2 linked regions of the Callithrix jacchus genome follow. The protein of the gene in region 2 interacts with the protein of the main gene of each other region in a pairwise test. Links are inferred from orthologs where the notes say so. Each region holds a gene or a part of one and is shown on either strand. Other genes may lie near its edges.

Region 1 (10,790 bases), on a different chromosome or scaffold from region 2:
GCTGATGAGGGTGCCCTCCCGCTGGGTGTCCACCTGCAGCACCCGCTCGGCCTCACGCTCGGCCCGCTCCTTACTCAGTTTTTGCTGCACAGAGAACTCCGCCCACTCAGCCACCAGGCGCCGCCGCTCCTCCCCACACTTGAGCAGGACAGACTTCTGCTCCTCCAGCAAGGCACTCTGGGATGTGGGGGTGAGGGCATGGGATGAGTGTCCCTGGGCATGATGGCAGGGTTAGGGGCTAAGGGCAGAGGTGTGACTCACCTTGGCCCGTTCCAGCTCCGCCCTCTCCATGGCCATCTGCTGCGCTGTGATCTTCCTTTGCTCCTCTAGGGCGCGCTGCATGGACTCCACCTTGGACTGCTCGGCAGTCATCCACCAGCGTTCCTGTAGTGCCCGGGTAAGACTGAGAGCGTGGTTCTTGCCCTGAAGATCAGGCCTGGCCACAAACCCACCAGTGTCTCCCACACTATGCCACTGACTCGTCCTTTCCAAAGAAGCGCAAAATGAGGGGTACCTGGGAGGCACTGCCAGGGCCCAGCCCGCAGGATTCTGCCCAAGAGGAGGACCCATTAGGCACCAGCCTAACCCTCAGATCTCTAGCTGCACCAAGGCTAGCACCTTGGGAGGCCCAGGGGCAACATCCCTGCTGCTGAATCACCAGCTCCGTCCGCACTCTGCCTGTCTTCACCCATCAGCCAAGCAGGCTAAGCACAGGGCGGTCTAGTGCCGTGCCATGGGCCCAGCCACACAGCATGAGGCAAGAGCTTCTCTGTGCCTGATCCCAGGCAAGTGCTTAACACAGTTATCAAATGAAGGGGCGGATCAAAATGGCTCACAATATAAAAGCATCTCTACATTGATACGGCCACAGGGTAGATAGCAGGTCACTACTGGACATCTCTGACTAGTGTGATCTTTTCATTTTCTTCTTTAAAAAGTTTTTTTTTTTTGGCCAGGTGCAGTGGCTCAGGCCTGTAATCCCAGTACTTTGGGAGGCTGAAATGGGCGAACTTCACCTGAGGTCAGAAGTTTGAGACCAGCCTGGCCAACATGGTCTCTCCTACACCCATCTCTCCTAAAAATAAAAAAATTAGCTCCATGTGGTGGCAGGTGCCTGTAATCCTAGCAACTCAGGAGGCTGAGGCAGGAGAATCCCTTGAACACAGGAGGCAAATGTTGCAGTAAGCCAAGATCACACCAGTGCACTGCAGCCTGGGTAAAAGAGTGAGGCTTGGTCTCAAAAAAAAAAAAAAAATTTTTTTTTTTTTTTTTGGCTGGGCATGGTGGCTCATGCCTGTAGTCCCTGCACTTTGGGAGACCAAGGTGGGGTGGGCGGATTGTCAGAGCTCTGGAGTTTAAGATCAGCCTGGGCAACATGGCAAACCCCCATTTCTACGAAAAATTAGCCAGGTCTAGTGGCTCGCACCTGTGATCCCAACTATTTGGAGGCTGAGGGAAGACTGCTTGAGCCTGGGAGTGAGTGCAAGCTGCAGTGAGCCAAGATCTTGCCACTGCACTCCAGCCTGAGTGACAGTGAGAGCCCATCTCTAAAAAAATTTTTTTGGCCAGCCATGGTGGCTCCCATTTGTACTCTCAAAATGTTGGAAGGCCTAGGTGGGTGGATTACTTGAGCTCAGGAGTTCAAGACCAGCCTTGGAAACATGGCGAGACCCCCATCTCAACACAAAATACACCATTAGCTGGGTGTGGTAGTGTGTGCCTGCAGTCGAGCTGTAAGCTGAGGCAGGAGGATGGCTTGAGCCGAGGAGGTCAGGCTGCAGTGAGCTATGACCACACCACTGCACTCCAGCCTGGAAAACAGAGAAAACAAAGAAAGTGCTTCATAAAACCTTAAAGGATGACAGCTACTAGCTGGGAACAAGAAGATAGGTGGGAGGGCAAGGAAGGCTTCATGGAGGTGGTAGCATCCAAAGATTCATGACCATTGAATTCAGTCTGGAAAGATTTCTGCAGGTCAGGACAGGGATGTGAGCAAAGGCAGGGATTGCAGGTGAGCACCACCACTTACAGCTAATTAAAACAAAATTTTATTTATTTTTTATTTATTTTTGAGACAGAGTCTCGCTCTGTCACCCAGGCTGAAGTGCAGTGGTGCTATTTCTACTCACTGCAACCTCTGCCTCCTGGGTGCAAGCGGTTCTCCTCCCTCAGCTTCCCTATTAGCTGGGATTATAGGCATATGCCACCATGCCTGATTAGTTTTTGTGTTTTTATTAGAGACAGGGTTTCACCATGTTAGCCAGGCTGACCTTGAACTCCTGACCTTAAGTGATCTGTCAGCCTTGGCTTCCCAAAGTGAGGAATTACAGGTATGAGCCAATACGCCTGGCATAAAATTTTTTTTAGAGATGGGATCTCGGGGAACGATCCAAGATGGCTGATCGCTAACATCCCGGGATTGCAGCTCTCAGGGAAGGCGCGGAGAACTAGAGGACGCCACACTTTCAGACAAATTCTGGTCGCTCGCGGAGCAGAAGATCCCCCAGTGGAGGAATCACACGGGTCGCCAGCGCGACTTTCGTGACCGGCGCAGCGGTTCCGCCAGCACCTTGGTGCCGCAGCTCTCGGAGCAGAGTAAACAGGTTTGGAGGACCCACACGGGCCCCCAGCACAACACCAGAGCCCAGCCCAGCGGCTGTGACGGCACCTCCCCGCGCTCCCCGCGCTCGGCGCAGAGTAAACAGGACCGGTTCCCCTTCTGCCCGAGGTTTGGAGCCCCAGGAAGGCAGAGTCGCCTACTACGGACACAAGAAGGAAGCCCGACAAGATAATCCTGGGCAGAAAAGCACCATCAGTTTTAACGCCGCTACTCTGGCCCTGGGAACTAACAACCTGGACGTCCACTCAAGAGACCTAATCTGAAAGTTGGTAATTTCAAAGACGAGAGGAGGATAAATTTACAATGACGGGAAGAAACCAGCGTAAAAAAGCTGAGAATACTCAAAGTCAGAACGCCTCTCCCTCTAAAGATGATCACAGTTCCACATCAACAATGGAACGAGGCTTGATGGAGAATGAGCGCCTCCTGATGACAGAATCACTCTTCAAGGAATGGATAATAACAAACTTCGGTGAGTTAAAAGAACATGTTGTAGCCCAACGTAAAGAAACTAGGAACTTTGAAAAAAGGTTTGATGAAATCCTATTGAGAATAGACAACTTAGAGAGGAGTATGAGTGAATTAATGGAACTGAAGAATACAATACAGGAACTCCGAGAAGTTATGCACAGGTTTAAACACTCGAATTGTTCAAGCAGAAGAAGGGATATCAGAGGTCAAAGTCCAACTTAATGAAATAAAACGTGAAGAAATGATTAGAGAAAAAAGGATAAAAAGGAATGAGCAAAGTCTCCAAGAAATGTGGGACTATGTGAAAAGACCAAATTTACGTTTGATAGGTGTACCTGAATGCGACGGAGAGAATGAATCCAAGCTGGAAAATACCCTTCAGGATATTATTCAGGAAAATTTTCCTAAACTAGCAAAGCAGGTCAACATTCAACCCCAGGTAATACAGAGAACACCACAAAGATATTCCTCAAGAAGAGCAACCCCAAGGCACATAATCGTTAGATTCACCAGGGTTGAAACGAAGGAGAAAATACTAAGGGCAGCCAGAGAGAAAGGTCAGGTTACCCACAAAGGCAAACCTATCAGACTTACAGCAGATCTCTCGGCAGAAACTCTACAGGCCAGAAGAGAGTGGGGGCCAATATTCAACATCCTCAAAGAACAGAACCTTCAGCCAAGAATTTCATATCCAGCCAAACTAAGCTTCACAACTGAAGGAAAAATAAAATCTTTTATGAACAAGCAAGAACTCAGAGATTTTATTACCACCAGGCCTGCTTTACAAGAGCTTCTGAAAGAAGCATTACACACAGAAAGAAACAACCAGTATTAGCCTTTCTAAAAATACACCAAAAAGTAAAGAGCACCAACATAAAGAAGAATTTACACCAACGAATGGATAAAACAGCCGGTCAGCATCAAATGGCAGTAACCCTAAATTTAAATTGACTAAATCCCCCAATCAAAAGACACAGCCAAAACCCAATGGCATGTTACATCCAGACCTGTTTCACATGCAAGGATACACAAAGACTCAAAACAAAGGAATGGAGAAAGATTTACCAACCAAATGGAGAGCAAAAATAAATAATAAATAAATAAAAAGCAGGAGTTGCAATTCTCGTATCGGATAAAATAGATTTTAAAGCAACAAAGATAAGTGGTAAAAGGATCAATGCAACAACAAGAGCTAACGATCCTAACACCCAGATACGAGACTTAGATTCAATGAGACAGAAAATTAATAAGGATATCAAGGACTCGAACTCAGATCCAGAACAAGTAAACTTAATAAATATTTATAGAGCTCCCCACTTCAAATACACAAAATATACATTCTTGTCAATACCACATCACACCTACCCATAAGTTTAAATGAAACATTGATTGGCCATTATTAATACCCAATTTTTTTCAAAATAAAGCAATATTTCCATTTACTCTCCCTCTTTCTCTTCCTCTCCTTTACTTATTTTTTTTTCTTTTCTTTCCTTCTCTCAAAAAAAAAAAAAAAAGAGATGGGCTCTCACTATGTTGCTTAAGCTGGTCTCAAATTCTTGGACTTAAGTGATCCTCCTGCCTCAGCTCCCCAAGTAGCTGCGATTACAGGCACAGGCCACCATGCCTGGATGAGGTTATTATTATTTAATTAAAGTGTGTGCTTATATATGAAAGGTATTTAGGGAGTTCAAATGTCTGTTAGAGCTGAAGAGGCTAGGATAACATTTAACAGGCAAGAGCATCTGTCCGAATGTCACAGGGCTTGGGTAAGGGGACAGCTCTGAGTGCAGCTGATGGTTGCAGGGTTTAGACTGTGGAGCAAGGCCAGGGTGGCTGAGGGACTTGCGGTGGTGAGGAGCAGGCAGAGCGTAGTGGGGGCCTGGCCAGGTGGCGCCTGTGTGCTCAGGTGGGCAATGCTGAGGGCCTGGCCGGGACAGGGAGACGCAGAGGCAGGAAGTAGCAGGGAGGATGCCCACAGGAGAGTCAAGCCCCGGCGCTGACCTCTGAGGAGGTGAGGTCAGGAGAGTGTCGCCACACCTGCGGGTGCCCTGGAGGAGAGGCCCCATGGCAGGAGGGCCAGGAGGATGGGCCTCACCTGCTCCAGCAGCTGGCTCTGCTCACTCAGCCGCGCCTCCATCTTCCCGATGACCTCCTGCTGCCAGCTCCGCTCCTCCTCCATGTCCCGCTGCTGCTGGCCCAGCCGCTCCTGCAGTGCTGGGGACAACCCACAGGGTGCTGGCAACTGCTCCTCTTCCCACCAGGGGTCTGGGGGTCTGAGAGGGAGGGCGTACCCCGCAGCTGCTCGTCCCGCTGCCGGATCCCCAGCTCCCGCTCCTGGGAGTTGGTGAGATGTGAGGCCTCCATGCGGTAGGACAGCTCCTGCAGGCTGCTGGAGAACTTCTCCATCTGGTGGATGATGCTATTCAGGGACCTGAAAGGAGGCTGGGTCACCACCTCCTGAAAGCCTCGGGACCCCCCAGCCCCCACCCTTAGGCGGGCACAGTTGGGGCAGCACACATACCATGTGTGGGAGGTGGTGCTGGTGGCCGCATCGACCTCTCGGTCTTTCAGCAGCTTCAGCCGCTGCAGCTGCTCCTCGTGGTCTCTGCGCATCTCCAGGATGGATGCCCTGTGGGGAAGTGGAAGGGGAAGGCCCACAGCCAATCTGAGCAGGACCACCCAGACACAGCAGCTCCTTGTGGAAGGGCATGCTTCGAAGCAGCCCTTGCTCCCAGGCCTCTCTTCCTCTGGGCACTGCCTCAGTTTCCCCAGCTCCTCTGTCTTATCTGTCATGGTGCCTCAATGCTACATGCACTAAGATGGAGATTACTCCAGTTATTCAGCAAAGAGCACTTTACATAGAGCCATGTGTGCACTTCTTTTGAGTCTGGCCAACCTGAGCTGTCTTTCTTTCTTTTCTTTTTTCCTTTTTGTAGACATGAGATCTCGCTATATTGCCCAGGCTGGTCTTGAACTCCTAGCCTCAAGCAATCCTCCTGCCTTCGCCTCCCAAAGTAGTTTTTTTTTTTTTTTTTTTTTTTTAATTCTTTTAGAGACAGGGTTTTGTTCTGTGGTCCCAGCTGGAGTGCAGCGGCATAATCAAAGCTCACTGCAGCCTGACGTCTTGGGCCCAAGGTATCTTCCACCTCAACCTCCCAAGTCACGATCATGCCCAGCTAATTTAAAAACTGTTTTTAGATACAAGGTCTCGTTGTGTTGCCCAGGCTGGTCTCAAACTCCTGGCCTCAAGTGATCCTCCCATCTTGGCCTCCCAAAGTGCTGATTATTACAGGTGTGAGCCACTGTGCCTGGCCCTGAGCTCTGAGTCAGGCATGGTGGCAGCTCATGCCTGTAAACCCAGTACTTTGGGAGGCTGAGGTGGGCAGATCATGAGCTCAGGAGTTCAAGACCAGCCTGGCCAACATGGTGAAACCCCATCTCACCTAAAAATACAAAAATTAGCCAGGCATGGTGGTGGGCGCCTGTAGTCCCAGCTACTTTGGGGGCTGAGGCAGGAGAATTGCTTTAACCCAGGAGGCATAGTTTGCAGTGAGCCGAGATCGTGCTACTGTGCTCCAGTCTGGGTGACAGAGTGAGACCTCTGACTCCCTTAGATAACTTCTTAGCTTCCTTCTCTTCTATAAAGGCAACCCTATCAACATGGCAGGCACAACAGTGCAAGCCTTTCCCAGGCAGACCTCATCTCTAGCCTCTACTGCGTGAGCTGGTGAGTGGATTACCCTGTGCTTAGTTAGGCCCTGGGGGGCTTGCTGCTGCCATGCGGTGCGTGGACAGCCTGTGGATACCGCATCCTGCCTCTGTAAGAGCAGGTGGCACTCCACCCATGTGTGTAATGGGTCAGTCTGCCCAGCCCTCAGTCCTCACTCATTGGGCTGGGAGGGAAGGGCTCAAATCCCTGTCCAAGGGCTGCTGAGCCACAGCAGAGGGTCTCGTGAGGATGGCTGCCTTCTGGCCAGTCCTTGCAAGCCCATCCCCAACTGCCTGTCCCTGGGCCTCACCGCTGCAGCTCCCGGAGCCGCTCCATTTCCTGGTCCTTCTCCTGTGCTGCAGCTGCCAAGCGCCGCTGGTACTGGGCGGTGAGCTCAGCACGGGCCTGCTCGGCCTCCTGGCAGTGCGACAGATACCGAGCTGACAGCTCCTCGTTCTCTCTCCGGAGACGCTCCTCCCGCTGCTGGTACGATATTTCTAGCACCTTGATGTGGCTTCTGCCAACAGTACACCCAGCCATGGCATGAGGAAGGTAGAGGGCTGCCACCTAAAGGCCTCTCCAAGCACACTGGGGTGGCCTTTGAGGTCAGCGAGAGAGTCAAGGCAGAGCTGGGGCTGGTGCTGGGGTACCTGTGTGCATTCTCGATGAGCTCCAGGTCTGCCTGGTTTTGCTGCTGCAGACTCCCCAGCAGCAGCTCACGCTGGGCCCGTTCCAGCTCCAGCTTCCGCACCTGGGAGACGGCAGGAGGGCCAGCGATTAGGGAGGGGAGGTGGCTGTGCTCTACGCTGCCCTGTGCCAACAGCCCCTCCTTCCTCCTGGGGATGCTTCCCGATACTCTCAGTCTCTCGGTGACCCCTCCCGTCACAACTTTGCCCCCAATGCCAGCAACCCCGCTGCCACTCACCTGGGCCTCCAGCTCTGCCAGCCGGGCTTGGCTCTGCAGCAGCGCAGCCTGGAGCTCTGCGGTGCTGCTCTGAAGCTTCACCTGTGCTGCCAGGAGCTGCTTCTGGTATTCTGTGCCTGGCAGCAGGCTCAGGGCCAGGGACTCTGGGAGCAGGGGCTGTAGGAGAGGATGAGAGGTGTTCTTGGTTAGGGAGGGACGGACCCAGCTGGGATCAGCTACCTCCTGGATCTCTGCTCACTGGACCTGATCTGTGGCTGCAGATAGGGCCAAGGCCTTGGAGAGTCACAGTCACTGTGGCTGAGCAGTCCCCAGTGTACTTCCCCTTGCAGGTCCGGTCAGGAGCATGCGTCTCCCTCCACCCCTCAAAAGAGCTTCCTCCCCAGCATGATCTCCGGCTTCCCAGACTGGGGCTGAGCCCCAGCTGAGTCTCCGCTGACAAATGCTGACGCTGGCTTTTCCTGTTAGCCCTGAAGCCCACATGTTAACACTAATCTGGTTTCCACAAGCTGCCCTCTACCCACCATCTCCCAGGGACACACTCCTGGGGGCCACACCTCCCATGCTCAGGTGTCACAGGTGACTGCCACACATGGAAACAGAGGCAGAGGTGTGGCAGGAGAATGGCAGGGGTGGAGGCGGCTTTCTAGACAGAAGAGGTCCCTGCAGCCCTGCTTTCTGACAGCAGCATTCCCAGCTCCCCAGCCTGGCTACCTCTTCGAATTCCCATTGATGTAGGGAAATTAACACCCAACTCTGCCTGGGAGCAGTGAGGCTAGAAGTTCAGGCAAGTGCTGGTGAGAGGTGCCAGGGGAGGTGGCCGACACCACATTTGGTATGTCTGACATATTTTTCCTGGCAGGTCATCAGGTCAAAGTGTTGGTGTTGCCTCTGTGCATGCACCCCTACCTGGACGGGCACAGAAGGCTCTGTGGGCTCCTGGGTGCTCGGGAAACACATGGCAGGCTCTGAAACATCAGCAGCAGGGAAATGAGCAGGGTGGCCCAGGGCTGTGGGCTGCAAGTATCCAGGAGAGGCTGGTGTCACTCATGTCCCAGGGACCCCAAAGGAAGCTCAAAGCACCTCTTCTTTGCCCAGGTTAAACTCCCAAATAAAGCAGAAAACAACAAACAAACCCGTGGCCGAGATGTCTCCAGGGGCTGCTCCCCGCTTTGGGGAGCCTGCAGGGAGTGCCGAGGCAGCATGTTTCTGAGTCACAGGGGACCTGAGGGCACAGGGACGGGGCAAGGTGAGCAGCCTCTATGTGGGATATGGGGATGGGGCAAGGCAAACAGCCTCTGTATGGGACAGGACAAAGTAACTAGCTCTGTGTGGGAGATTGGGACGGGGGAGGGTGAGCAGCCTCTGTGGGATTCGGAGACAGGGCAAGGAGAGTAGCCTGTGTGGGACACGGAGACGGGGGTTGGCACCAGGAGTAAAGGAAAACTTCGGGTTCAACTGACAGCTGACTAAGGAGTCTCAGTTGTGCTGGTGGTAGGCAGAGGACAGAGTCCCCTGCACTTCAGAAAGCTCTTCCACCAGCGTGCCTGGAGCAGGGGTTGAACACCACGGTTAATTGTATTGGGTCTCCACATGGTTGTCTGCTGTCCCTCTCTAAGGACGGAGTGCTACCCACTGTGCCCTCACTCTGCTCAGTCTGCAGCCCGGGCCTACCCCGAGACGCCAGGCCTGGCACACGGTCTTTCTCCGGCGGTTGTTCCAGAGCTTCCTCCAGCAGCTGCCTGCTCAAGTCCTGGCATGCTGGTGAGAGGTTGGCTGAGAAAAGGCAGCCTTCAAGGTGAAGGTGACAGAAAGCCCAGGTCAGGCTGGATGAAGATGGGGCCCAGGACAGGCTTCACACATGAAGCTCATGGCTGCCCTTTCTCTTGCTCCCACCATCCCGTCTTGGGTTGTTCTCCTCCCAAGTCTGAGCTCCTGGGATCTGTGGGCATCTCTTCCCTTCAAGTACCCCCTTCCTGCCTCAGCATCCCTGTTCCAGCCCATTTAACTTGGCTCAGCTCTAGAGTAAGGCTCTGCTCAGTCTCCCAAGTCTGGCTGGCTCCCTTTCCTGTTATTTCTACCTCTTTCTCAGCTCATGGGTCAGTGAAGACACAGGCTCTCTTCTGTTTTGGCCTCAGCTTTCCCCTCAGTCTCAGGTGAATGTCAAAAGTGCCCTCCTGACATCAATCCCAGGACTGGGTGATGTTCCTGGGCTGTCACAAATTGCCCAGTTCACTTCCCTGGGCTTGGGCCACATTGCTGCTCATAATTTCCCCCAGCCTGCTGGCCCTTGTGCCTTCCTGCCCTCAGAGGTCGCTCACTGTCCTGTCCCACGGCTTGCCCTTCTGTGGCTTCTCCAGGAGGTGCCTCTGGACCACTGTGTCTCCTCTAACGCTCTCAAAGAGCACAGGGACATCTCAGCTCACACACGCCATATTTACTTCAGTGGAGCTGGCAGAAGCACCAGTGGTTTGGACGCTGAGGCTGCCAGCCTGAGGACGCTGTGGCAGGGCACTGCTCAGAGGCAGGACAGTGGTGTGTCTGCCACCTCAGGTATCCTCTGTTCTGCCCAATCAAGTTAGCACCTGTCCCCATGGCAATCAGGGCACAAATGTCAACAGCTCCCCCGACCTGTTGGGTCTGTCCCTGGGGCAAGCCAGGGAGCCAGAGGCTCTCTCTGCAGTGCCCAAAAGGCAGAGTAGCAAAGCCAAGAAACGGCCTCTGTGCCCACGGCGCGCTGCCTTGTTCCCAACTGAGGCTGCAACAGGTGAGGGGCAAAGGGGCCCCTCAAGTCCCCCTACAAGCCATAGCAGCCCAAGCCCGTACCTGTCAGAAGGGGGATGGCCCACTGTCCCTGCAAAACTCAGGCCCTCAGAGGCCCCAGCACCCTGCTCTCTGGCCAGGCCTTGGGACTTCTTCCGAGACAGGGCATGGCTCAGCCAGTCTTCTTCCTCCTTCTCGGAGGCTTGCAGCTTGGAATCCTGGCTGGCTTTGGCAGGGGACCCTGCACCTTCGGTTGGTGGCTTTGCCTTGGAGAGGGGCAGCCCAGCTGGTGCAGAGTGCTT
Region 2 (10,890 bases):
CTGGGTAACAAGAGCGAAACTCCGTCTCAAAAAATAAAGGACAAAATCCCTATTCTCAAATAACTCAGAGAAGTGAGTCAGGTTCATGTGATACATGTAGTCATGGTAAGGTAATTAAAGATAGGGTGACAGCCTGCAATGAAAGAAACTGGTACCGTCTTCATGGAAGCAATTTCAGTGTTTACGGGATGAACGAGAGCCCACCATACAGGCAACACGCAGGAAGCCTTTCCAGGCAGAAGAAATGGCACAGGCAAAATCACAGGGCAACAAAGCAAATGGTGCTCTCTGGCTGAAGCACACGAGTGTTGAGGGAAAAGGTCAGAAAAACTGAGACCTTGTCACACCTTGCCTGGCAGCCTCTATTGCAATTGGGAGGCATGAAATATTGTCACATGGGAAAGGGACAGGGTCACATATGTGCCCTACGGAGGACGGAACAACCAAGCGCAGCTTCCTTGCCCGATTGCCCTTCACATATACTCCATATCCTCTACCTGTCGTTCACGGGTGTTCACCAAACGCTGTCTCTAGCTTCGGGTGGGAGAGAGGTGGCTTCCCTATGGTTTCCTCTTGGTGCTCATTTGTTTGCCATAACTTACTGTCTGTCTTTCTTCAGCCGCCCCCACCACCATCAAGTCTCTATTAAAAAGTTTTGTTCTAAACAAGGAGCCAAGAACAAGCTCCAAAGAAATCACGTGAAGTTGTACTGGACATAGCCACGCCCTGCATTTATGCACTGACAATGGCTGCTTTTGAGCTGAGCTACAACAGAGCTAATCAGCTGCGGGGGAGGCCACATAGCCTACAAAGCTAGAAACATTCACTACCTGACCCTTTTTAGAAAAGTTGGCAACGTCTGTTCTAAACCCAGCTTCTCCCAAGAGCCTTCCCCCACTGACCGTCCCTCTAGTCACCCGGATTAGACACGCACTATGCACAAGTCTGTTTATAAATCCTTTTCAAACGTTATACTTCATGCGAGTTGGGTAATTCTTTCAAACGCATAAACTATACAAAATACGACGCACAGTCGGACCGGCTGCTGAGATGAACGCTACATTGGGGCAGTCTCTGCTTAACATGGGGAGATAGACGCTGCTGCCTTTAATAGGCCTGGGTCCTCGCAGCTCCAAAAAGAAACAGGATCTCAATAAGCTCTATGAGCTGAAGTCCAAAGCTTGGCAGATTATGAACCAGTTTGGCCCCTCAGCCCTAATCAACCTCTCTAATTTCTCATCCATAAAACTGGAACCAGCCAGCACCCCTACACAAGGCTCCATGGCCAATAGTACTACAGAGGTAAAGATACCAGGCACTCCTGGGACAGGAAGTTAGCCCTGAAAACAATCAGGTATTGACCAAGAAGAAACTGCAGGCCTTAGTAAGAGAAGTGGATCCTAATGAGCAGTTGGATGAAGATGAGGAGGAGACGCTGCTGCAGATTGCTGATGATTTTATCGAGAGTGCGGTGACGGCCGCCTGTCAGCTAGCACGGCGTTGCAAGTCCAGCACTCTGGAGGTGAAAGACGCCCAGCTACATTCAGAGCGCCAGCGGAACACGTGCATCCCAGGATTTGGCTCTGAAGAAATCCGACCCTACAAAAAAGCTTGCACCACGGAAGCTCACAAACGGAGAATGGCATTGATCCGGAAAACAACACACAGAAAGGTCAGGGAATGGACAACAATGTATTTGGAGATACTTGAGCTGAGAACTCAGCCATCTCATCCATGGATTTTTTTTTTTTAATGCTTTACAGAGAAGCATATGTTTTTTATTAACAGTGCAGCAATATCTATAATGACTTATCTATATCTATAATGCCAAAATCTATAGTATCTATAATGCCAAAAGAATAAGGCCTTCTACCCCAACTTCCGGTCCCTTTTCCCTGCCATCTCAAAGCGGAGCAGTGTATCTTCCAGAGAAGACTTTATTTGTGTTTCATTATATAAGTGACTGAATATGGGACAAAGCATTACGGTCTTTTTGGGTGAGACAGTATTAGTAGGATTTGTCAAGGGTTCCGTTTCCTTCTCCTTTCCCCTTTTCCCTGTACTTCGTAATGTCAGTGTTTATGTGAACACGACTTTCATTTGCTTTTCCAGAACAAAGAAGTTATTCATCAAAAAAAAAAAAACAAACACCTATACAAAATAATCTTAGAAACAAAAAAGGCTGAAACAATCCTTAAATAGCAACTATTTCAGTGTTTCTCAAAGTGGGTGCTACTGGTACCTTGGCAGGACAATCCTGCCTGGCATGGGACTGTTTCTTGCACTGTAAGACACTTAGGGTTCCTGCCCCGACCTCTCCAATCGCTCAAGTCTTCTGAAAACAGCCAAAGAAATACCCACACACCATTGCAGAGGACAGAAAGGCAGGACTAGCCTTACGAATCTAGTCTAAACTACTCATTTCACAGATGAGTAACTGAGGTCCAGAGAGGCTGTATGACTCCATCTTTGCAACCGAGCCTAGAAGCATGTCCAGGTGCCCAGATGCTCTGAGAAGGGCTTTTCTCCCCTTTGATAATCCTCCCTCAGAGGATACCATCACGTGGACAATGACCTGGGTCCACTCAGGCTCACTGAGAAGATTCTCCGTCCATCAGACTTATTTTCAAGGAGAGCTGAAGTCTCAGTGCACTGTGTGGGCAGAGCAAGTGGTGGGATCTCAGGACTCCATGGGAATGAGTTCCTCGTCTAAGAGTTCTTTACTGCGCCCTGCCTGGAATGACAGAAGGATGCTGGACTCTACTAGTCTGGGACTTTACTTTTCAGACAGAAATATCTCTACTCAATGGAGATTCGTCACGTTTTATGTGTTGTTCAAAAACATTTTTTTTTTTGAGACAAAGTTTCACTCTTGTTACCCAGGCTGGAGTGCAATGGCGCGATCTCGGCTCACCACAACCTCCGCCTCCTGGGTTCAGGCAATTCTCCTGACTCAGCCTCCTGAGTAGCTGGGACTACAGGCACGTGCCACCATGCCCAGCTAATTTTTTGTATTTTTAGTAGAGACGGGGTTTCACCTTGTTGACCAGGATGGTCTCGATCTCTCAACCTTGTGATCCACCCGCCTCGGCCTCCCAAAGTGCTGGGATTACAGGCGTGAGCCACCGCGCCCGGCTCAAAAAACATTTTTAAACACCTAGGTGGTATTTTTAAATGTTACAAAAATGCATTTTACAAATGTCTCTGTACTTTTTGTTTGTTTTTTCTTTTCAAAACAAAATTCCTGGCTGGGTCCAGTGGCTCACACCTGTAAACCCACTTTGGGAGGCTGAGTCAGGTGGATCACTTCAGGTTAGGAGTTCAAGACCAGCCTGGTCAACATGGTGGAACCCCATCTCTATTAGAAATACAAAAATTAGCTGGGTGTGTTGGTGCACACCTGTAGCCCCTGCTCCCTGGGAGGCTGAGGTGGGAGAATTGCTTGAACTGGGAGGCAGAGGTTGCAGTGAGCCGAAACCTTGCCATTGCACTGGTGACAGTGTGAGGCCCTGTCTCAAAAAAAAAAAAAAAAAAAAAAAAAAAAAAAAATCCTAAATACCTCTATCATGAATTAACACATCAGCCACTTGTCAAGGCCTTGAGGCTGGAAGAAGAGAACAGAGTAAAAACTCCACAATCAAGGCACTGTCAAGGAGAATAACCCAGAGAGAAGCAACAGTGGGCCTTATACAGGACGTCTGCAGAATGGTAACAAAGGGAGCTGACTGTACCCAATAAAGTTATCTATGTCAGTTTTGCCAAGAATCAACCGTGGTCTATGCAGTTAGCAGGTTAAGCTTTATTGACAGGTCTGGTTTCCAGGGGTTCCAAACTAGGCTCCTCCATCCTTTCCCCAAAAGTAAGGGAATCTCTCAGTTCTCAGGGTGAGATCCCCCGCCATGTGCGGTTGATCCACCTCTACCTACAAGTTCTGGATGACTTGCTGGAGAAGTTTAAGGGAAGTAACAGCTCTACAGAAGAGGGGAGCACCAGCAGAAGCGACTGTGAATTCGGACAACCCTTACCAAGAGTTCGGCTCGTGCCTGTTCCCCCTGGGCCCGACGTCTCTTCTTTAAATCTTTCACTCTTTTAAGGTGGTCCAGCTGGTTCTGAATCTGCTCCTGAGAAAAGCAAAACAGATGGCAGTTCAAAATTAAGTAGACCTTAGCATCAGCATGGTCATCGAGACGGAATCTCACTCTGTCATCCAGGCTGGAGTGCAGTGGCGCAATCTCAGCTCACTGCAACCTCCACCTCAAAGGTTCAAGCGATTCTCCTGCCTCAGCCTCCCGAGTAGCTGGGACTACAGGCACGTGCCACCATACCCAGCTAATATCTGTACTTTGAGTACAGATGGTTTCCCCAAGTCTGTCAGGCAAGTCTCAAATTCCCGATCTTGTGATCTGTCTGCCTCAGCCTCCCAAAGTGCTGGGATTACAGGTGTGAGCCACCTCACCCAATAGCATGGTCATTCTTATCACAGATGGAGTCCACACACCTGATGCCAAGTCCTGTCTGGTCCTGTCCTCAGGCCACAGTGCCACCCACAAGATTAAGACCCAGGGCACAGGGGCCATCAAGCCTCGCCTCTGGCATTTTGTGTCTATCTAAGCAGCCTGTGGCTTCAACCACTCAGCTACTGCGTCAGGACTATTTGTGTCTATCTTAAACAATGAGTCATCTACCTGTCCCTGGTCGGATATTGCATGACTTAGCGGAAATGTGACTGGAGCAGGAGGCTGAGAGTTGTGTGGTACTGGAGCTTTTCCTCACAGGCATACTGCGAAGGTGACTTATTTTCCTCAGGTGTGACATGGGCAAACACCATCTTCCCAACCTGCTCAAGATGTATCACCAGTGAGTGAAATAATATAGCTGAAAGGTCCATTAATGTTAAGGGATTACACATGAATGTACTCCCATTAAACAGGGACATAATTGTGTATGCATTACTGAAGCCCTCAAGATACAAATAATTGTGTCATGGACTCCTTGAAGGGCGCCTTACAAGTGTTTTATTTGGAACACTTTGTCTGCACGTTACTGTTTGTTTAGCTGTGCCGGTTAGCAGAGGGCTCTGAGCGTCCTGTGATTCCACGTTCTTCCTCATGACTGTGTTATCTCCTGGGTCCTAGAGTAGTTAAACGACTTACTCAAGCACCAAAGAGCTGTTATTTTCCGTGAGCTTCTAGAGCCGGGCAGACTGAACGAAAGTGCTAGAGAAAATGCTTCTACACTAAGGAATGGCCGTGAGTCAGTGAACGTCTGAGCGCGTTTTGTTGCGAGCCGGTGGGAGCGGAGCGTGTCCCCAGCTTGCGGATGTGCGCGGGTTGTATGCGCTTCTTTCATTCTGTCAAAAGGTCTCCGTGTACAACGCGCCCGCGAGGCAGGAAACTCGGGGGCACACGGAGCGAGGAGAGTGGGGGTGGGGGGACTTGTGGCTTCTTCGCCAGCCACAGGTTTTCCTCCAGATCCGAGCGCGGAGGCTCCGGGGCGCACGGGGAGGAAATGACGGCTGCGAACCAGCCCCACGTCCGGCTCAGCCATTTTCTGGGCGGAAAAGGGACGCCCCGGGCTCTCCCCCTCCCTTTGTCCGCCGCCCGCCCCGCCAGCTCACCTTGAAGCCCTCCACGGCCTCCTCGAGCGGCAGCACGCTGTGTCCGCGGTGCTCGCGGGAGCGGTCGCACACCACGCAGATGGGCGTCTGGTCCTGCTCGCAGTACAGCTTCAGCGGCTCGCGGTGCTTCTCGCACGCGCCCATCTCCCCGCCCGGGCCCACCGGCCGCTCGGAGCGCAGCTGCTTCACCAGCTGGGTGACGTTGGCCAGGTGGCGGTTGGGCCGCAGGTGCCGCTGCGGGAAGGTCTCCCGGCACTGCGGGCACGACACGTTGGTCTCCGCCGCGCCCCAGCAGCGCGCCAGGCACGCGCCGCAGATGTTGTGTCCGCAGTCGAGCATCATGGGCTCGGAGAAGTACTGCAGGCACACGGGGCAGGTGGTCTCCTGCTGCAGGCACTCGGCCACGCTCGCGGACGCCATGGCGGGGCCTGCGGGGCGCACGGGCATGGGCCCCGACCGAGCTCCGCGCCGCGCCCAACTCTCCCGCGCTCTCCGGTCGCCGTTCCCGGGAGGCGCGGGGCGGGCGGAGGGCGGCGCCTCCCGGGCCCGGATCCAGACGCGCCCGCGCCGCGAAGACTCGAGGTGGCCGCGCCGCTCCCCGCGCCGGGGCCCCCGATGAAGGCGCGAACACGCTCCGGGGCAGGGCCGGGTCGCCGAGGGGCAGAAGCCCAGGGGCAGGCGCGCAAGACAACGTGGCCGCGTCCGAAGCGGGTCCCGGCGGCCGCGCAGACCCCACCCCGGCGCGAGCGGAAGAGGCGGCTCGGCGGGCGGGGCTTGGCCCGCGCTCCCAGTGAGAGGCTAGATTTCGTGGCCTCGGGGCCTGGGATTTTCTTCTCGGAAAGGCCGAGGAGGCTCTGCCGCGGTCCCTGGCCCGGTCGCGCCGAAGCTCCAGCCTAGGGGTCGGGGCCCGAGAGCCGGCGCTGTCTCCGGGCGCGGCGCCGACCGGGTCTCCTGGCCACGCGCTCCGGGCCTATAGGCTTCCGCGGCTGCCGGGCCGGGCCCCGAGTCTTTGTTCGGTTTCCTTTTGGTGCCTGGGTCCCAGCCCTGCAGAAGAAAGCAGGCTTTGTGTGGATGCCGAGGAACGAACGGAGACATCTGGCCTCCCCCGGAGTCTGGAGGATGAGGGTTGCGGACTAGCCCACCTGAGACGTGGGGCCTTTTATTAAGCAGCCCCATTTGTAGGCACCTGCAGTTTCGTTTAGATATCAGACGGTAACGTTTCTGTGTTGCAATAACAAGCCCAGTTCTGCTACTTCTCTCCTGTGCTCAGGCAAGTTGGTTTACCATTCATTTACCTCAGTTTCTCCCGTGTGAAATGGGGATAATTGTACCGCAGTAAGAAGTACATTTCCTTACATCTTTTACTTTTTGTACCATAGGGTTGTTTATCCATTAAAATAGTAATAAAATGCCCACTACATAGGGTTGTTGTGCTGAGTAGCAACTACAAATTGCTTGCTCCTTTCTGAGGCATCGACCCAGGGTCTTGGAGGCCGCAGACCGCCAGCATTTTTTTTTTTTTTGAGACGGAGTTTCGCTCTTGTTACCCAGGCTGGAGTGCAATGGCGCGATCTCGGCTCACCGCAACCTCCGCCTCCTGGGTTCAGGCAATTCTCCTGCCTCAGCCTCCTGAGTAGCTGGGATTACAGGCACGCGCCACCATGCCCAGCTAATTTTTGTGTTTTTAGTAGAGACGGGGTTTCACCATGTTGACCAGGATGGTCTCGATTTCTTGACCTCGTGATCCACCCGCCTCGGCCTCCCAAAGTGCTGGGATTATGGGCGTGAGCCACCGCGCCCGGCCCCCGCCAGCATTTTTATGTTACGTTCTTATCCCTTACTGGCGTTTCCTAGTTTTCTTTGAAATTTTTCTCAAAATTATCCTGCTGTCTGAGCAAGACAGGCTTCTGCTTCCAGATGATCACTTTATTTTTATTTTTTCAAAGTGAAAGTAAGTTTATTATTATTATTATTATTATTTTTGAGACAGAGTTTCACTTGTTACCCAGACTGGAGTGCAATGGCACGATCTCGGCTCACTGCAACCTCCGCCTTCTGGGTTCAAGCAATTCTTCTGCCTTAGCTTCCCGAGTAGCTGGGACTACAGGCGCGCACCACCATGCCCAGCTAATTTTTATATTTTTAGTAGAAAGGGGGTTTCACCATGTTGACCAGGATGGTCTCGATCTCTTGACCTCGTGATCCACCCGCTTCGGCCTCCCAAAGTGCTGGGATTATAGGCGTGAGCCATCGCGCCCGGCCTATTATTATTCTTTTAAAGTAAGTTTATTTTTTAAGAAAGTAAGGTAACAAAGAATGGCTACCCCGTAGGCGGAGCGGCCCACATCATCGCTTTAGAGAGGTCTACACTCTGCTTCTCTTCCGCAGGGGACAGAAAGTCTGAGGGCCTCAGTGGACTTGCCAACCACAAACCCACATCCACCTTCTCAACCATACTCTGGGTATCTGGTCGTTCAGATTTCAGTCCCAAATAGCCCTAACCCATTTCCAGAATGATGCAGTGTACCTGGCCCAGGCCACACCACAGCCTGGTCTTGGTGTGAGATTGGGTCAACATTGAAATTTGTAAGAATTAGAGAATAAGTACGTCAGTTCTGATTTACTCCAAAAAGGACTAGTAAGCATTGCAACACACGCCGAAATATGAGAGATACAGATAGGCAGATAAAGCTGCCCTTTAGCTGCCTCCTGATTTGGGGGATACAAGTCTAGAGTTTGGCTTTGTTGTTAAGAATTGTTTTTATCCTACCAACCCTTTATGACCTCTGGAGACAGGTGACCTGGGGTAAAGAAACGTAGAACAGGTAGGGTGTGGTGGTTTATGCCTGTAATCCCAGCGCTTTGGGAGGCTGAGGTGGGCGGGAGTTTGAGACCAGCCTGACCAACATGGTGAAACCCTGTCTTTACCAAAAATATACAAACCAGCCGAGCGCAATGGTGCACACCTGTAATCTCAACTATGGAGGCTAACCTGGAGAATCAGTTGAGCCCAGGAGGCAGAGGTTGCAGTGAGCTGAGATTGAGCCACTGCACTCCAGCCTGGGTGACAAATCAAGACTCCACCTCAAGAAAAGAGAAAAAGAGGGGGGGGTGCGGTGGCTCACGCCTATAATCCCAGCACTTTGGGAGGCCGAGGGGGGTGGATCACAAGGTCAAGAGGCAGGAGAATTGCTAGAACGTGGGAGGCGGAGATTGCAGTGAGCTGAGATGGAGCCACTGCACTACAGCCTGGGTGACAGAGCAAGACTCTGTCTCAAAAAAAAAAAAAGAAAAAGAGGTAGTGTGAGGATCCTTGTGATGGAATAGTTCTGTGTCTTGACTGTAGTGTTGTTCCTGTGTATTTACATATGCAATAAAATTGTGTAGAACTAAACACACACAAACACGTGAATTTATGTAAAAATGGTGAAATCTGAATAAGATTGGTAAATTTTAACGATGATAATTTGCTGGTGTGACACTGTACTGTATTTATGCAAGATGTTGTCATTGGGAGGAACTGGTTGAAGGGTATGCTGGATCTTTATTTTTATTTTAGTTTTTTGGAAACAGAGTCTTGCTCTGTCACCCAGGCTGGAGCGGTGACGCCATCTTGGCTCACTGCAACCTCCGCCTTCTGAGTGCAAGCAATTATCATGCCTCAACCTCCCAAGTAGCTGGGATTACAGGCATGTGCCACCATGCCCGGCTAATTTTTGTATTTTTAGTAGAGATGGGGTTTTGCCATGTTAGTCAGGCTGATCTCGAACTCCTGACCTCAAGAAATCTTCTGGCCTCAGCCTCCCAAAGTGCAAGGAATACAGGAGTGAGCCACTGCACCTGGCCACTAGATCTTTAGTAACTGTACCTGAATCTACAATTATGTCAAAATAAGTTTTAAAAATATGCATTCACAACATCAATTACTTCTTTTTCCAGGTAGCAAAGCTCTGTATTTTGCTCTTGATTGGACTAATGCCTGTGGACAGAGAAAGTCATGTGCCGACTGGCTTAGGTTTAGTTTTACTACCTATTCCTGAACCGATTACTGTGGCAAGGTAACTGAGATCATGCCCATGGTGTATGCATCAAGACCTATTCTTGAAGTCAAAACTCTGAAACCTCATGGGTACTGTGGAGTGAAGTGAAGAGTGGAATGGAGTGGAGTGTGGAGTGGAGTGGAGTGTGGAGAGGAGTGGAGTGTGGAGTGGAGTGCGGAGTGGAGTGTGGAGTGGAAAGGAGAATGGAGTGTGGAGTGGAGGGTGGAGTAGAATCGAGTGTGTGGAGGGTGGAGTGGAATGGAGTGTGGAGTGTAATGGAGAGTGGAGTGTGGAGTGGAGTATGGAGTGGAATGGAGAGGAGTGTGGAGTGGAGTGTGGAATGGAGTGTGGAGTGGAGTGGAATGGAGTGTGGAGTGGAGTGTGGAGTGGAATGGAGAGTGGAGTGGAGTGCGGAGTGGAGTGTGGAATGGAGTGTGGAGTGGAGGGTGGAGTGGAGTGTGGAGTGGAGTGGAGGGTGGAGTGGAGGGTGGAGTGGAGTGTGGAATGGAGTGTGGAGTGGAGGGTGGAGTGGAGTGTGGAGTGGAATAGAGAGTAGAGTGGAGTGTGAAGTGGAGTGTGGAGTAGAGTGGAATGTGGAGGGGAGGGTGGAGTGGAGTGTGGAGTGGAATAGAGAGTAGAGTGGAGTGTGGAGTAGAGTGGAATGTGGAGTGGAGGGTGGAGGAGACTGGAGAGTGGAGTGGAGTAGAGTGGAGTGTGGAATGGAATGAAGTATAGAGTGGAGTGTGGAGTGGAGGGTAGACTGGAATGGAGTACTGGTTCTCTCTATCCCCTTCCCTGTCACTATGTAGTCACCTGGGCCTTATGTCTATGGAAATTAGGTTCTTCTGGGTAAATCAAAATAAGGGGCTTAGGCATGACAGAGGTTTTATCTACCTCAGTAGGAAGACCAGAAGGAGGTGGGTGGGAGTCACATGGCGGTTTCATTATCCTCAGGGCTCACTGTCCTATTTTCTGCTCCAACATTCTTGGGCATCACATCTACCCTCAATGTTATCTGATAGTCCAGGATGACTGCTGGAGTTTCATAATCCAGAATGGAAAGAGAAAGTGCAAAATGTCATTCATCCCAATTGGGTGAACCTTTTCACTTTTTTTTTTTTTGAGACGGAGTCTCTCTCTGTCACCCAGGCTGGAGTGCAATGGCACGATCTTGGGTCACTGCAACCTCTGCCTCCCAGGTTCAAGTGAGTGTCTTGCCTCAGCTTCCCGAGT

The links.
Region 1: the proteins of TRIM27 (region 2) and FBF1 interact in binary tests that used the Homo sapiens proteins (3 or more experiments, as listed by UniProt). The two-hybrid records come from large-scale screens. The link is inferred for Callithrix jacchus from reciprocal best matches to the Homo sapiens genes TRIM27 and FBF1.

Annotation. Positions count from the first base shown.
Region 1 is NC_133506.1:131,807,039-131,817,828, forward strand, and holds part of FBF1 (fas-binding factor 1), read right to left. Parts: coding exon 10,552-10,790; intron 9,517-10,551; coding exon 9,400-9,516; intron 8,951-9,399; coding exon 8,862-8,950; intron 8,694-8,861; coding exon 8,635-8,693; intron 7,885-8,634; coding exon 7,729-7,884; intron 7,555-7,728; coding exon 7,454-7,554; intron 7,321-7,453; coding exon 7,114-7,320; intron 5,724-7,113; coding exon 5,616-5,723; intron 5,526-5,615; coding exon 5,386-5,525; intron 5,309-5,385; coding exon 5,190-5,308; intron 385-5,189; coding exon 262-384; intron 178-261; coding exon 1-177. UniProt on the Homo sapiens protein: Keratin-binding protein required for epithelial cell polarization. Involved in apical junction complex (AJC) assembly via its interaction with PARD3. Required for ciliogenesis.
Region 2 is NC_133505.1:2,066,796-2,077,685, reverse strand, and holds the start of TRIM27 (zinc finger protein RFP), read right to left. Parts: upstream 6,350-10,890; 5' UTR 6,065-6,349; coding exon 5,618-6,064; intron 4,122-5,617; coding exon 4,026-4,121; exon of another isoform or gene 1-4,025. UniProt on the Homo sapiens protein: E3 ubiquitin-protein ligase that mediates ubiquitination of various substrates and thereby plays a role in diffent processes including proliferation, innate immunity, apoptosis, immune response or autophagy.